Linked DNA regions of Sus scrofa. The main gene of each other region encodes a partner of the protein of the gene in region 3 in a complex. Links are inferred from orthologs where the notes say so. Each region holds a gene or a part of one and is shown on either strand. Other genes may lie near its edges.

Region 1 (4,065 bases), on a different chromosome or scaffold from region 3:
GTGACTTAAGGCAAGGCCCTTCCCTCTCTGGGCCTCAGTTTATCCGTCAGTTTGAGGCAATGGTTCCTAACAGAATGTCTAAAGGCTCTAGCTCCTACTCCTCCGCAATGCTGGGGTTAGGTCTTAGGGGAGCTCTGGGAAGAGGGAGGAAGGAGAGCCCCCACGTTTTGGTTAGGGGTGTGGAGGGAGGGGGAGATGGGAAACAGCCCAGGGCTTGACTTGCCCTGGGTGATGTGGTAGGGACCCCGAATCAGTGGCCTCACTTGCTGTTGGCGGGGAGGGTATCTGTGGCCCTAGGGAGAGTTTGCAGAAGGGCCCTGAGTTCCACTCATGCCCACTCCTTCCCGCAGATACAGGGAGGGCCAGCGGCTGCCGAAGGCCACGGAGAAAACCAGACTGGGCGTGAGCACGGCTGGCCGGCCGTCTCGGAGCATCGCAGACAATGTGCGCAGTGTGCGGGGGACCAGGGAGGGCCCAGAGCTGAGGGAGGGATTGGCAGAGGCCAGCAGCTCCTGGGGCCAGGCGCGGCTCCCCACCCCCACGCCAGACAAAGAGCAGCCTGGGCCTGGGGAGCTGGCGGCCTTCCCGCCACTTGGGGCGCCTGGGGGGGCTCTCTGGCGGGGAGGCAGGGGCTTTGTCTAACTCAGCCACTGCCACTGCCGGCCAGGCCGCGGCTTGGCAACTCGCGAGCAGGAGGCAGGGCTGGAGGGCGTGAGGGATGATGACAAGGAAGCCGGAGGAGCGGCAGCGGAGAGTCCATCTTGGATGCAAATGGCAGGGGGAGATCGGGCTTTCCAAAGGGGTCCACAGGGAGGGGAGCAGCCTGCCACAGATCTGGGGACCTCAGCACTCCTCCTGGAGTTCACCAGAGGAGAAAGAAGAAAATCTGTGCACAGGTGCTAGCCAGCCCAGAACAGGACTTCAGGGGTGCTGAGTGGCTGCCTCTGCCACCGTGACCCCAGTCCCCAAAGGTCCCAGTTTAGGGTCCCTGCCTCAGCTGTACCAGGGCAGGCCTGAGATATCCCACCTGTACAGGCAGCAGCAAGACCCTCCATCCTTACCACAGTCAGATGAAGGAGGCAGTGAGAAATACTACAGGCAGCAAAGCTTGTCTTTATAAGGTTTGCAGACCCCAGAAGAGGTGAGAACATTTGAAGAGAAAATAGTGGCTGTTTGCTCTTGAGGCTTAGAGCCCACATTTGACCAACTTAGCTATCCCCCACCCAATCACATCCTGAATCTTAACCCTTTCCACTCCCCAATCTGTGTCTAAGAAGTTAAAAAATAAATAAATATTTATTTATTTACATGCATTGCTTTTCTGGGTCCCCTATAGGATTTTTGGAGTTATGGAGTCAACCATTTGGAGACAAGGCTCAAAACTTTCGGACAACTGCCAGCGTGGCATTTCGGACCAGAGACGCCAGTCTCCTCCCCGCCAATCACACCCCCCCACGCCCCCACGCGCCTAGCTTTTTGGAAGTTTGTTTCCCACCAAGAGTCCAAAGGAGAAGGGCTATAGTGAAGGGAAAGAGCAAATCACCCCCGAACCCCACAATTTTACCCTCCCCTCCCCCCGGTGCCTTTCGTCCTTGGGAGGAGACCCTGGACACAGCCTAAAGCTGCCTGACAACTTCTGGAGGAGTTTCCTGGGACCGTCCAGTTCCAGCCCCAAGGAAGGGAGAGGACGGCCCCTAGGCTTCTGCGGGAGGGGACCTTCCAAACCCAGAGTTGGGGGCTCAAGATGCGGGGCCCCGAAATGCGGGCCCCAGGCCGAAATGCCGCCCCCACCCTCCGCCTGCAGGCACTCCGAAACCCCGGGTCTTCAACTTCGCTCATTCTGCCGCACACGCCTGAGGGGACCTTGCCGCGAGCCCCATTTTGGGCACCCCGCTCCCACGCGCCAGGCCGAGCCGCCACCGATGATGTCCCCTGCACCGCCGGTGACCCCAGCGGCCCCGGGCCCTCAGGGCGGGCTGCACTTGGCACGCTCGCCACCCCGCAGCGCTGCCGCGCGTGGCCTAACCTTGCTCACGTGCACGCAGCAGTCTCGGCCCCCGCCCGGGCTTGACCCCCGCTCCCCAAGGGCGGCCCGCGCCCCGCTCCCGGAGCCCCGCTCCCCGCGCGGCCCGGCCGCTCCCGACTCCCGCCGGCAGGGGCCCTCGCCGAGCCGCCCAAAAGCCGGAGGAAAACGGAGCCGAGAAAGCCTCCCCCGCCCTCGCTCGCCGCGCTCCCCGCGAGCCCTCAGCCGCCGGCGTGGGGGGGACCGCGGCGGCAGCCAGCGCCCCGGGCCCCGGCCCGGCCCGAGGCCCGGCGCGGCACAGGGCGCACCAGCGAACTTTGGCGGCGTGGGCGCCAGAATCATGGCGGCGGCGGCGGCGGCCCCGCTGCCCCGGGCCGGGACCCGGTGCCTGCCACCCCCGGCCGCCGCGGGTCCCCGGGAGCCGGGGCCGGGGCCGGGCGCGCGGGCCCTCAACTTGGCCGCACTTGGGGCGCGGCGCACGCGGCCCGCAGGGCGCACTCACTTACCGGCGTTGAGGGAGGCGGCGGGCATGTGCGCGGTCAAGTTCGGTTTGTAAGACATCCCCCCGAGCGGCGGGGCGCGCCGGGGCGCAGCGGGGCCAGGCCCGCGAGGGCGACGGCGGCGGCGAGGCCGGACGGCGGCGAGGCGGCCCCGGCGTCCGTGCGCCCGTCCGTGCGCCCGCCGAGCTCCCGCGCACTTTTTGTTGTTGACGGCTCGGGCCGCACCGGCAAATATGGCCGTCCCTCACCCTGACACCCGCTGCAGTATATCACCCATACATCGGGCGGGCGCGCGGGCGCAGGGGCGGCCGCAAACTTTGAGCGGAGCCAGCGGGGCCGGCCCGGGCCGGGAGGGGGCGGCCCGGCGCGCCGCGGCCCGGCGTCAGGGGGCGGCTCCGCCCGCTGCCGCGCCCCGCGCCTCCGGGCGCGCTCGGCGCCCGCAACTTGGCAAAGTTTGGGGGGCTGGGGTCCCGGCGGCGCCCGAGGCCCGCGTGGGTCCCTTTCTTCTTCTACGCAGGCGGCGCCTGAAGATTTGTTCTTTTACCGATTAATTTTTTTAATAGCTAGGTAGGATTGCAGAATTACTTTTTTCCCCCTGGACTGTGGGGGCAGGGATGGAAAATTACCTGGAGAAAATGGTGGCGAGTGGTATTTTTAAGCGCGTAGATCTTTCCAGACGCCAAGGTCTGGCTACACCCCAGAGTAAGAACAACCAATTTTTGACATTGATTTCAAATAAATTTCACGTCCCTGTCGGTATTAAGTGGTTTTAACCCTTTAGGGGCCTAGACACCTTTGAGACTGTACAAAAGCCAGCAGCCTCCTCCCCTGGAAAATACACCCGAACATTCACACAATTTTGCATCTTAACACATTCAGATACTTAAGAAGCGCCTACTGTGTGCGGTGCACTGTTCCAGGTGCTAAAGATACAGAATAAACTTGACAAAGTTTCTTCTCTCCTGGAGAATTTTTTTGCAATTTTTGACTCTCCTCTACCCCCACCCCAGCCCACTTCTCAGATCTGACTGAAACACAATCACCAAATGTATTTTGCATTAGGTGATGAAGCTTTTGAAGGTATTATTTCTTGGAGTTCTGCTTGAATAGTAAATCTTGTCAAAATACAAGAGATGCCCACCCTTTTCTGCCCTTTGTAATCGCCATGCTTTGCCGAATTTTTTTGATTAGCCACAGACATTCAGATACATCCGGATCTACTGAGGAAGGCATCAACCTTTTTGCCTGAAAGCAAAGGGACACCATCCATGCCTTCCCTCCATCCCTTTAGGAATGAAGGTACAGGTGACACTCCCTTCTCAGCACCCCTTGTGATAAGCTTTAGGCTGGTTCAGCCAAGAATGTTCAGTGATTCTGCTGTTAGGCACCGGGGACTATATCCAATCGCTTGTGATAGAACATAATGGAAGATAATGTGAGAAGTGTGTGTAAGTATATATATATATGTGTGTATGTATGTATATATGTATGAATGACTGAGCTCTTTGCTGTACAGCAGACATTGACAAGAACATTGTAAAT
Region 2 (4,191 bases), on a different chromosome or scaffold from region 3:
GGCATTTGTAATTATTATGGGATGCTCTGAGGTGAACTGAACTTTATGTGAATGGCTCATCTGACCAGCTTGGTATTTGGTGGGTCTTACTCAAAATTTAACTGGAGGTAAGTGTTGCTAAGTGTCTGGAGAACATCTGGATTTTGGTGGGATTGGGTGGGGCTCAGTCCAGTTCCTGCATGTCTGAAAATGATGGATGAGGAAAGCTAGAGTCTGTCCTAGACATCAAGAGACTTTGTGCCAGGATACTGCTTTGGGCCATTAAGGGCTGAAGGTGTGTACAAGTTGGGGCGGGGACAGGGCAATGTGGATAGCCTGCTTCACCCTTGCTGGTGTGGGAGTTAGGGTTTTAGACTGACAGCCTCTGGAGATGGGGGAGGGATGAGTATAAATATTATGGGATGCCTGACTGGAAAGGTATAGGGGTGGTAGAGATGAGCATTATGGGACCTGACTCTGGGTTGTGTTGGGAGTATTATTGTATGTTTGCTTGACCACAGGTTCTTTGTCATTATTATGGGATGTCAGGGTGTGGGTGGGGGAGTAAAATTATGGGATATCTTTCCAGTGCTAGAGGAAAGGAGTTTGGATGTCCATCTGTGAGGTGACTGTAGGGCTGTTGATCATTATGGATATCTCTGATAGAGGAGGAGTGGTTATTATGGGCTGTGGAGTGGGAATGAACGTCTGAAGCCTTGGGGTCGAGTTTTGAGGTTCTAGCCCACAGGGGCTGAGGGCAGCTCCCCAGGGGGTTGGTTATTATGGGATGTCAGTACAGAAAGTGGGAGACTGATTACTACGGGATGTGTGTGGGAAGTGGGAAGAGGCCGAAGTGTCCGTTGTTGGGGGGGGGTGAGTTTCTGACTATTATGGGATATCAAACTGGGGGTGGATGAAGAGTGGTTATTATGGGATGTCTGTGGGGGATGGGGATGAGTATTATGGGATGTGAGCATGAAGAGCGGGTAGGGGTGCTTATTATGGGATGGCCATGGGGAGGGAGAGGTGACGAATTATTATGGGATGTTAGCATTAGGGCCAAGAGTGAAGAAGTTGGCAAAGGATGGCTATTATGGGATGTCTAGGGGAGGGGTAAAGTGTTAGTTGCAAAAGGTCTGCAATATCATGAGATGTCAACATCCCTGGCATATATGTATATGTGTATGGAGTGCGTGCGCGTGGGGGGGTGATGGTTGTGGTGGTGGTGGTGGTACGGTGGTGGTGGTGGTGGTGGTGTCCGTGTGTATTATGGGATGGCCAGGAGGTGGGTGGTTGCCCGGGTGACACGCGCGCGCGCGCTCGAAGGGGGCGTGGCCAGTGGTTGCTGAGCGACGAGGGGGCGGGGGTTGCCCGGGAGACCTAGGGAGGAGGGTGGCGGTAGTGGAGGGGGGGTTGGAGTTGGTTGAGGTTATTATGGGCTGTCCGTGGGGGGGCGGGGCCTGTGCGGTGGGATTTCCCGGCCGGTGTTTCGGGCCCTTTAAGAGGCGACGCTGGAGCCGGAGCCATTTTCCCCCCTTCGGCCGCGGCGAGGAGGAGCCGGAGCGGGAGTGACACCCGGCCGGACCCTGCGCGACCTGCGGCGGCTCCGGGGTGAGGAGAGCGCGGGGTTCCCAGACAGAAGCCCCTCTCATCCCGACCGGCCCCGAGGGTCATCCCTCCACCCAGCCTCTCTTCGGGCGTCCCCGGACCCGCAGACCGCCCCCTGCCCGGGAAGCCGACCCTGCCTCTCCTTCCCCTGCAGGGCGCCCAGCCCCCGCCCTCGCCCTGCCCGACTCTAGCTCTCCGCGACTCCCACCTCGGGCTTTGCCTCCCACAATGCCCGGCGCCCCCCTCGCCCTTTGCTCACTTGCCCCCCGGGACACGTGGCCCGGCCCCCCGCCTGGTGGGAGCCCCGGCCCCCCACGCCCCTGCCTCCAGCCCCCCGGAGCGCCGAGCCTCCACGCCCCCTCGTCCCCGCGGCTTCTCCGGAGAACCCGAGTTGTCCCAGAGGACAGCCTTTGGAGAGCTGCCCTGTCTGGGGACTGGCCCCTCCCCAGGCGCAGGGAGTCGCCCCCCCACCCCCAAGTGACCTTGTGTCCCCAAGCGCCTCGCCGCCGGCCGCCTCCCCCGATCCTCCCCCCACCCCCCCCGCGCCGCGGCCACTCGGACCCCCTCCCCCGACACGCCCGGCTCAGTTCAGCGGCTTCTCCCCTCCCTACGCCGGCACCGGCTTGCCCTCGGGGGCGCCGCTTCCTCCGGTCTGGGGGGCTCCAGCCCGGGAGCCGGCTTCCGGGCTGCCCCTGGGAGTGTGGAACTAAGTTCAGCCTGAGTGGTTCGGGTGCCCTGCTCGGGTGGCTGAGGGGTGGGGGGGCCGGGGGTGGGCGGAAAGCGCGGCGGGGTGGGGGAGGGGGCCGTGCGCGTCACTGACTGTTCTCTTTCTCTCCCCCCTCCCCCGCACAGTGACTCGGGCCAGTGTCGAGGGCCCCAGGCCGCAGGCAGGAGCAGCTGGGCCAATTCCCTGGCCGGGAGCGGAAGGGGATGGCGTCGGGCCTGGGCTCCCCGTCCCCCTGCTCAGCGGGCAGTGAGGAGGAGGATATGGATGCACTTTTGAACAACAGCCTGCCCCCACCCCACCCAGGTAACATCTTCCCCAAGGGCCCCGGGCAGGAAGGAGCCATCTGGGCCCTCCCTAGTGGCTCCGTGAGGCAGGGTTGAGTTTCTGGGCTTGCTCTGTGCAGTGAGAGGTGGAGGGCATCCGAAGGGAGTGGTTCTCTTCTGCGGAGCTCTTGTGCGAGGGGGTTGGAAGCCATGTGCCTCCCGGGCTGCGCGGACCGAGATGCAAGCTTGCTGCACTGCCTTCGGGAATTGCTCTGCAGTTCCCGGTTGAGGGAGCTCTCTGGGCTGGCAGGCTTTGTGGGTCCTTGGAGGAATGCAGGTGGCTGGGACCCCTGGAGGCTGTGCAGTGGGGAAGGGGCTGGGTTGAGGATCGCTTTTGGAGGAGACCAGCCGGGCATCTCTGCCGGTAGGATCCTGTGATTGCTGCTGTGGAAAAGAAAGAGGGAGTGCTGGTTACTCTCTGATTATTTTTAGCTTCTGATCAGTTACCGGCTTTCTGTGCTGTTTCAACTGTGTGAAGTTTGAATTGCGCTCCGAAGCTGGAATCTAGAGTGCTCTTAGCCAGGCAGATTGCTGGAATGTTTTGAGTGGGGCTAGGAGTGGGATGTAGTAGCCTGCAGGGTATACTCCAAGGGACAGAAAGAAGAGAGATGACACTCTGGGCACCTCTCTTCCTCGGGCAAGTGGACTTAATCCTGGCTTTTTTCTCTAGACGGTTCTGCCCTGTGCAGGTAGCCTGGGGTTTGGACTGGTGGTGTGAGGTGTTTGTGTAGGTGTGTTGGGGGTTGTGTTGTCTGTGTTTTGGGGTGGGTCCTTGCACTGGCCAAACCCGAATGGTTATGCATCCTGCCTGGTTGGAATGGCTCTTGTTTGTCCTCAAGTGATGATTGGTGTTATGTGTCTAAGTGAATGTCTCTCTTCTCTGTCTGTCTTCAGATCCCTTAGCTAAGTCACCTCCTTGTTTCCTTGACCTTTTTTTCGTAGCTTTGTTTTTTTCTACGTGCTGTTTCTTCATCTTTTCTGTTTGTGGTTTTATTTTAATTCTGGAGCTTGCTAGTCCTGTATTTGTTTCCCATCAAATGTTTTTCACTTTTGCCTTCTCTCTCCATAGTTCCAACTGCAAGTTGAGGTGGTCTGGGAGAGATGTTTCTACTTTGGCACTTTCTAAGTTGGAAGTCTTCGCTTCAATCCGAGGCCATTTAGGAGAGGGTCAGTCTTGTCATTGAGTCTTCAGCTGTGGGGATGAGAAACTTAGGCTTGAGTCTCATCACTGTGTAGGGCGAGGTGGCAGATTTCTGTGCTGTGGCCCAAGGTGGGGTGGAGAATGGCGGTAGTGGTGAGGTGGTTCCATCCTGGCTTTGAGGGGCATGAGGAGTAGCCGGGCCGTCCAGCCAGCGTTGGTTCCACATCTTGGTTTCCCATTGGCCCCTTGGTCTGGGGCTGCCCCTGTGTTGATTGGGAGCTGTGCAGGCTCCCACGGTGAACTCTGCCCCAAGCTGTAGCGTGACCCAGTTTTTCCACTTGCCACACCTCATTCCTGCCCCTTTCCCAAATCTTCCCCTGTATCTCAGCCAGTTTGTCGCTTGCCGTATCAGT
Region 3 (3,603 bases):
TCGTGGAGCTGTTGTCCTTCAGTTCAGTTAGGTGATAATCCAGAAAATTGATTTGACTCTTTTATATTTTTTATTTTGGTACCTCTAAGAAATTATTTAAATGGCGGGTCATTATTTCATCTCTGTTTGTCCCTCTCCCACTCACCCACCCCTTTTTCTCTTTCTCTTTTTTGGCTGCACCCACAGCATGTGGAAGTTCCCTGGGCCAGGATTCAAACCTGTGCCACAGCAGCCACCCAAGCCACTGCAGTGACAATGCCAGATCCTTAATCTGCTGTGACACAAGAGAACTCCCTTGAATAATTTCTTAAACATGTCGAGCCGGAACTCTCTACCTAAAAAGCTGTGTAATTACGCAAGTTCCGATACAGACTGCATAGAGTGAAAAAAATAAGGTCCTCTTCCACGTCCTCTCTCTCGTTCCCTCACCCAGAGCAGAAGCAGTCCTTATTTGCTTTCTTATCCATCCTGCCCGGCGTGAAGAAGGACATGCGACATCCTTCCGTCTTTTTCTCTGGTAGCAAGTTGTTCACTTGACTTTTTAATTAGGAGTTCATAATGGAAACTTTTTCATATTGACATGCTTAGATATGGGCTCTTGTTTTGAGGGCTCCATAGAATTTGATTTATGGGTATGTTTTTGTCACCACTTCTTTGCTGATGGATATTTGTTTTCAGTCTTTTGCTGCTTCCGCCAGTGCTGCTGAGAATAACCTTGTAATAATCTGTGATTGTTGGTTGAATTTCGTAGCAAAATTCAAAGTGGTCCAAGGATTCTGGCCTGGGAATGGACAAGGTCTTTTATCATTAGTGCTTCTGCAGCCTTAGGTGCATCCAGTTTTGGAGGAAAATGGTGTGATATTGATTGACTCAAGAAAACAGATTTGTATTTTAATTATGGAGATGAAAAAAAGGATTTTTAGTAAAAGGAAAAATCCTTATATGATGGAGTCAGGGGAAACTGGAATAACTGAATTTTAGAGTCTAAGGGAGTTTTTAATTAAGATGCTCCAGACTTTGCACTCCCATTCCTTAGAAAGCTCCTATGTGAATGGGTGTGTTTACCTGTATGTAACTTGTACCTGTTGGTTTTAGTATTTCTGCTTAATGCCATAAAAAACAAGTCATTTTCTTCCTTTTATGTCATCCATAACATTGTGGGGCCTTTCAAGTATTCCTAATCTCTTTCCAAATGGTTTTCATATGAGATGTGTTGAAGTCCACTTTGATTTGAAGCCACTATTCCCTATAAAGATTTCATTCTGAGTCCTAAAGTACATTGCCTAGAGCCTAATATTCTAAGTGTGGTTTTTCCAGTTCAGAATAGGTGGGTGAGTGCTCATGCGTATTGCCTCTCCCTCCCTGTGTAAGTTTATCTAAGATGAAATTAATTACTTTCTTCGAGAGCCACATCATCTTTGCCCACTGAACGTATTTTATTTCAGACCCGTGTCTTTTTTTCACATAAGCTGCTGTTGCTAAGCCATGGATGCCTTATTCTGTTCTTGGAGTTTTTGTGTGTTTATTGCTCTTTTTTTACCTCAAGCCAAATCTTGGTAAAATTTTGTCTTGTATTTTTTCAGTTATTACTAAGTTACATGCCTGGAGATAAATCCCTAAGCCTTTTTTCTAAACCACTGAAGCCTTTGTACTACTGAAATTTAGTTATACATAAATAGTCTTAAGTCGTCTGCTATTTGTTGGGGCTCAGAGCCCTACTTCTCAGTCCCCCTCACTGAGCTGGGACCATGGAACACGGGTGAAAATTGCTATTCTAGATAATACGAATGGGAATGCATTGTTAATAAATACAGGTGCACAATCATTGCTTGGACCAGGGTGTCAGGAGGCATCAGTGTCTTTTTCAGCCTCAAAGTGAGTTTATAAAGGGTAGGGAAACAAAGACCCTTCTTCCGTAAAAATGAGAATGCTCATTTAAGCACCGTAAACATAAATAAGGGGTTTTTACATCATGCTGTTTGCACTCATAACCTGTTTTTTAGGTGAAGAAACTGAGGCTTGTAAGGAAGCTGTGATTTAAGGAATTGCATATAGCTAATTTTAGTTTGAGCCAGGATTTAAACCCAGTGTTTCTGACTCAACCCTTTATTCTTTCATTCTACTTTGTTGCCTCTTATTGAGAGAGCAGAAGCATCTAGAGTATTAAAATTAAAGGCTTTTTGAGGAGTTCCCGTTGGTGGCACAGTGGAAATAAATCCGACTAGGCACCATGAGGTTGTAGTTCGATCCCTGGCCTCGCTCCGTGGGTTAAGGATCCGGTGTTGCGGCGAACTGTGGTGTAGATCGCAGACTCGGCTTGGATCTGGTGTGGCTGTGGCTGTGGTGTAGGCTGGCAGCTGTAGCTCCGATTGGACCCCTAGCCTGGGAACCTCCATATGCCGCCAATGCGGCCCAAAAAGGGGGGGGGGAGGGGTTAGGTGAGAGGTCATGATTTATGAATTCAGGGATCGGTGATGGACTGAATTTGTTAGCAACTGATTTCTAGTAGGATTAGTATGACTTATTTTCTTTCCTAAACAGACCGGAAGGAAAGGATTATGCCCTTCATTGGCTAGTGCTGGGGACTCACACATCTGATGAGCAGAATCATCTCGTGGTTGCTCGGGTCCATATTCCGAATGATGATGCACAGTTTGATGCTTCCCACTGTGACAGTGAGAAGGGTGGTAGGTATACTGTATATTCCAATATCGGTGTCTAAAGGAGTAGGCCTCTAATGATATGTTATTAACACTCTGTCCTAATAGCTTTTGGCCCAGCGGTTTAACTTCTAGGACTTTATCTTACACAACTTCTCACCCACATGTGCGTTAGGATTTGACAGTAGCATTATTTGCAGGATTGAAAAATTAGGCTCAACCTTGCAACTCCATTGTTAGTTCATCGGAAGTCATTTAAACAAATTGTGGTATGTTTGAAATACTGTGCAGCATTTACCACGAATGAGAGAACTCTGAAATTTCATAAACACATACACCGAGTGAGGTAAATCTGTATGCACTGGTATGGAAAGGTGTCCAAGATAAATTGAGTAACTGGTGTGTGTGATTATAGTAACTATTTTGGTAACACTAAGAATATTGCTATGCATAGGAAAAAGTCAGGCATATACACCAGTTAATAGTGGATTTTTTTTTTTTGGTCTTTTTATATCCGCAACTACGGCATATGTAGGTTCCCAGGCTAGGGGTCCAATCGGAGCTACAGCTGCCAGCCTGCACCACAGCTCAATAGCGGATGTTTTAGGGAAGCTCTTGACCCCCATCCCCCCATCCAAATGTACATTCCCCTGTTTGGGTATTCCCACACCACCCAAGTTTGGTGGTTTTGCTAGGAGGACTCGCAGGATTCAGTAGCACATTATATTCATAGCTGGAATTTGTTACAATGAAGAATACAGAACAAAAGCAGCTGGAAAAAGATAAGGCATCAGGGAGTCTAGGGAGGTCCAGCACAAGTCTCACCCAGGTCCACACAGGATGTGCTTTCTCTTTGGCAGCAACTGACAGGGATACTTGTGGACTATCTCTGCCCAGAGAAACCCATTTGAGGGCCAGGCTCTTAGTCTTTCATGGGGGGCTG

What was found.
Region 1: RBBP7 (region 3) and CDK2AP1 share a complex: the UniProt entries of both Homo sapiens proteins name them as parts of the nucleosome remodeling and deacetylase (NuRD) repressor complex. The link is inferred for Sus scrofa from reciprocal best matches to the Homo sapiens genes RBBP7 and CDK2AP1.
Region 2: RBBP7 (region 3) and CHD4 share a complex: the UniProt entries of both Homo sapiens proteins name them as parts of the nucleosome remodeling and deacetylase (NuRD) repressor complex. The link is inferred for Sus scrofa from reciprocal best matches to the Homo sapiens genes RBBP7 and CHD4.

The regions. Positions count from the first base shown.
Region 1 is NC_010456.5:29,629,858-29,633,922, reverse strand, and holds the start of CDK2AP1 (cyclin-dependent kinase 2-associated protein 1), read right to left. Parts: upstream 2,840-4,065; 5' UTR 2,585-2,839; coding exon 2,530-2,584; intron 2,137-2,529; exon of another isoform or gene 2,027-2,136; intron 1-2,026. UniProt on the Homo sapiens protein: Inhibitor of cyclin-dependent kinase CDK2. Also acts as a component of the histone deacetylase NuRD complex which participates in the remodeling of chromatin.
Region 2 is NC_010447.5:64,070,275-64,074,465, forward strand, and holds the start of CHD4 (chromodomain-helicase-DNA-binding protein 4), read left to right. Parts: upstream 1-1,352; 5' UTR 1,353-1,590; intron 1,591-1,995; exon of another isoform or gene 1,996-2,297; intron 2,298-2,439; 5' UTR 2,440-2,517; coding exon 2,518-2,617; intron 2,618-4,191. UniProt on the Homo sapiens protein: ATP-dependent chromatin-remodeling factor that binds and distorts nucleosomal DNA. Acts as a component of the histone deacetylase NuRD complex which participates in the remodeling of chromatin.
Region 3 is NC_010461.5:13,309,933-13,313,535, reverse strand, and holds part of RBBP7 (histone-binding protein RBBP7), read left to right. Parts: intron 1-2,541; coding exon 2,542-2,687; intron 2,688-3,603. UniProt on the Homo sapiens protein: Core histone-binding subunit that may target chromatin remodeling factors, histone acetyltransferases and histone deacetylases to their histone substrates in a manner that is regulated by nucleosomal DNA.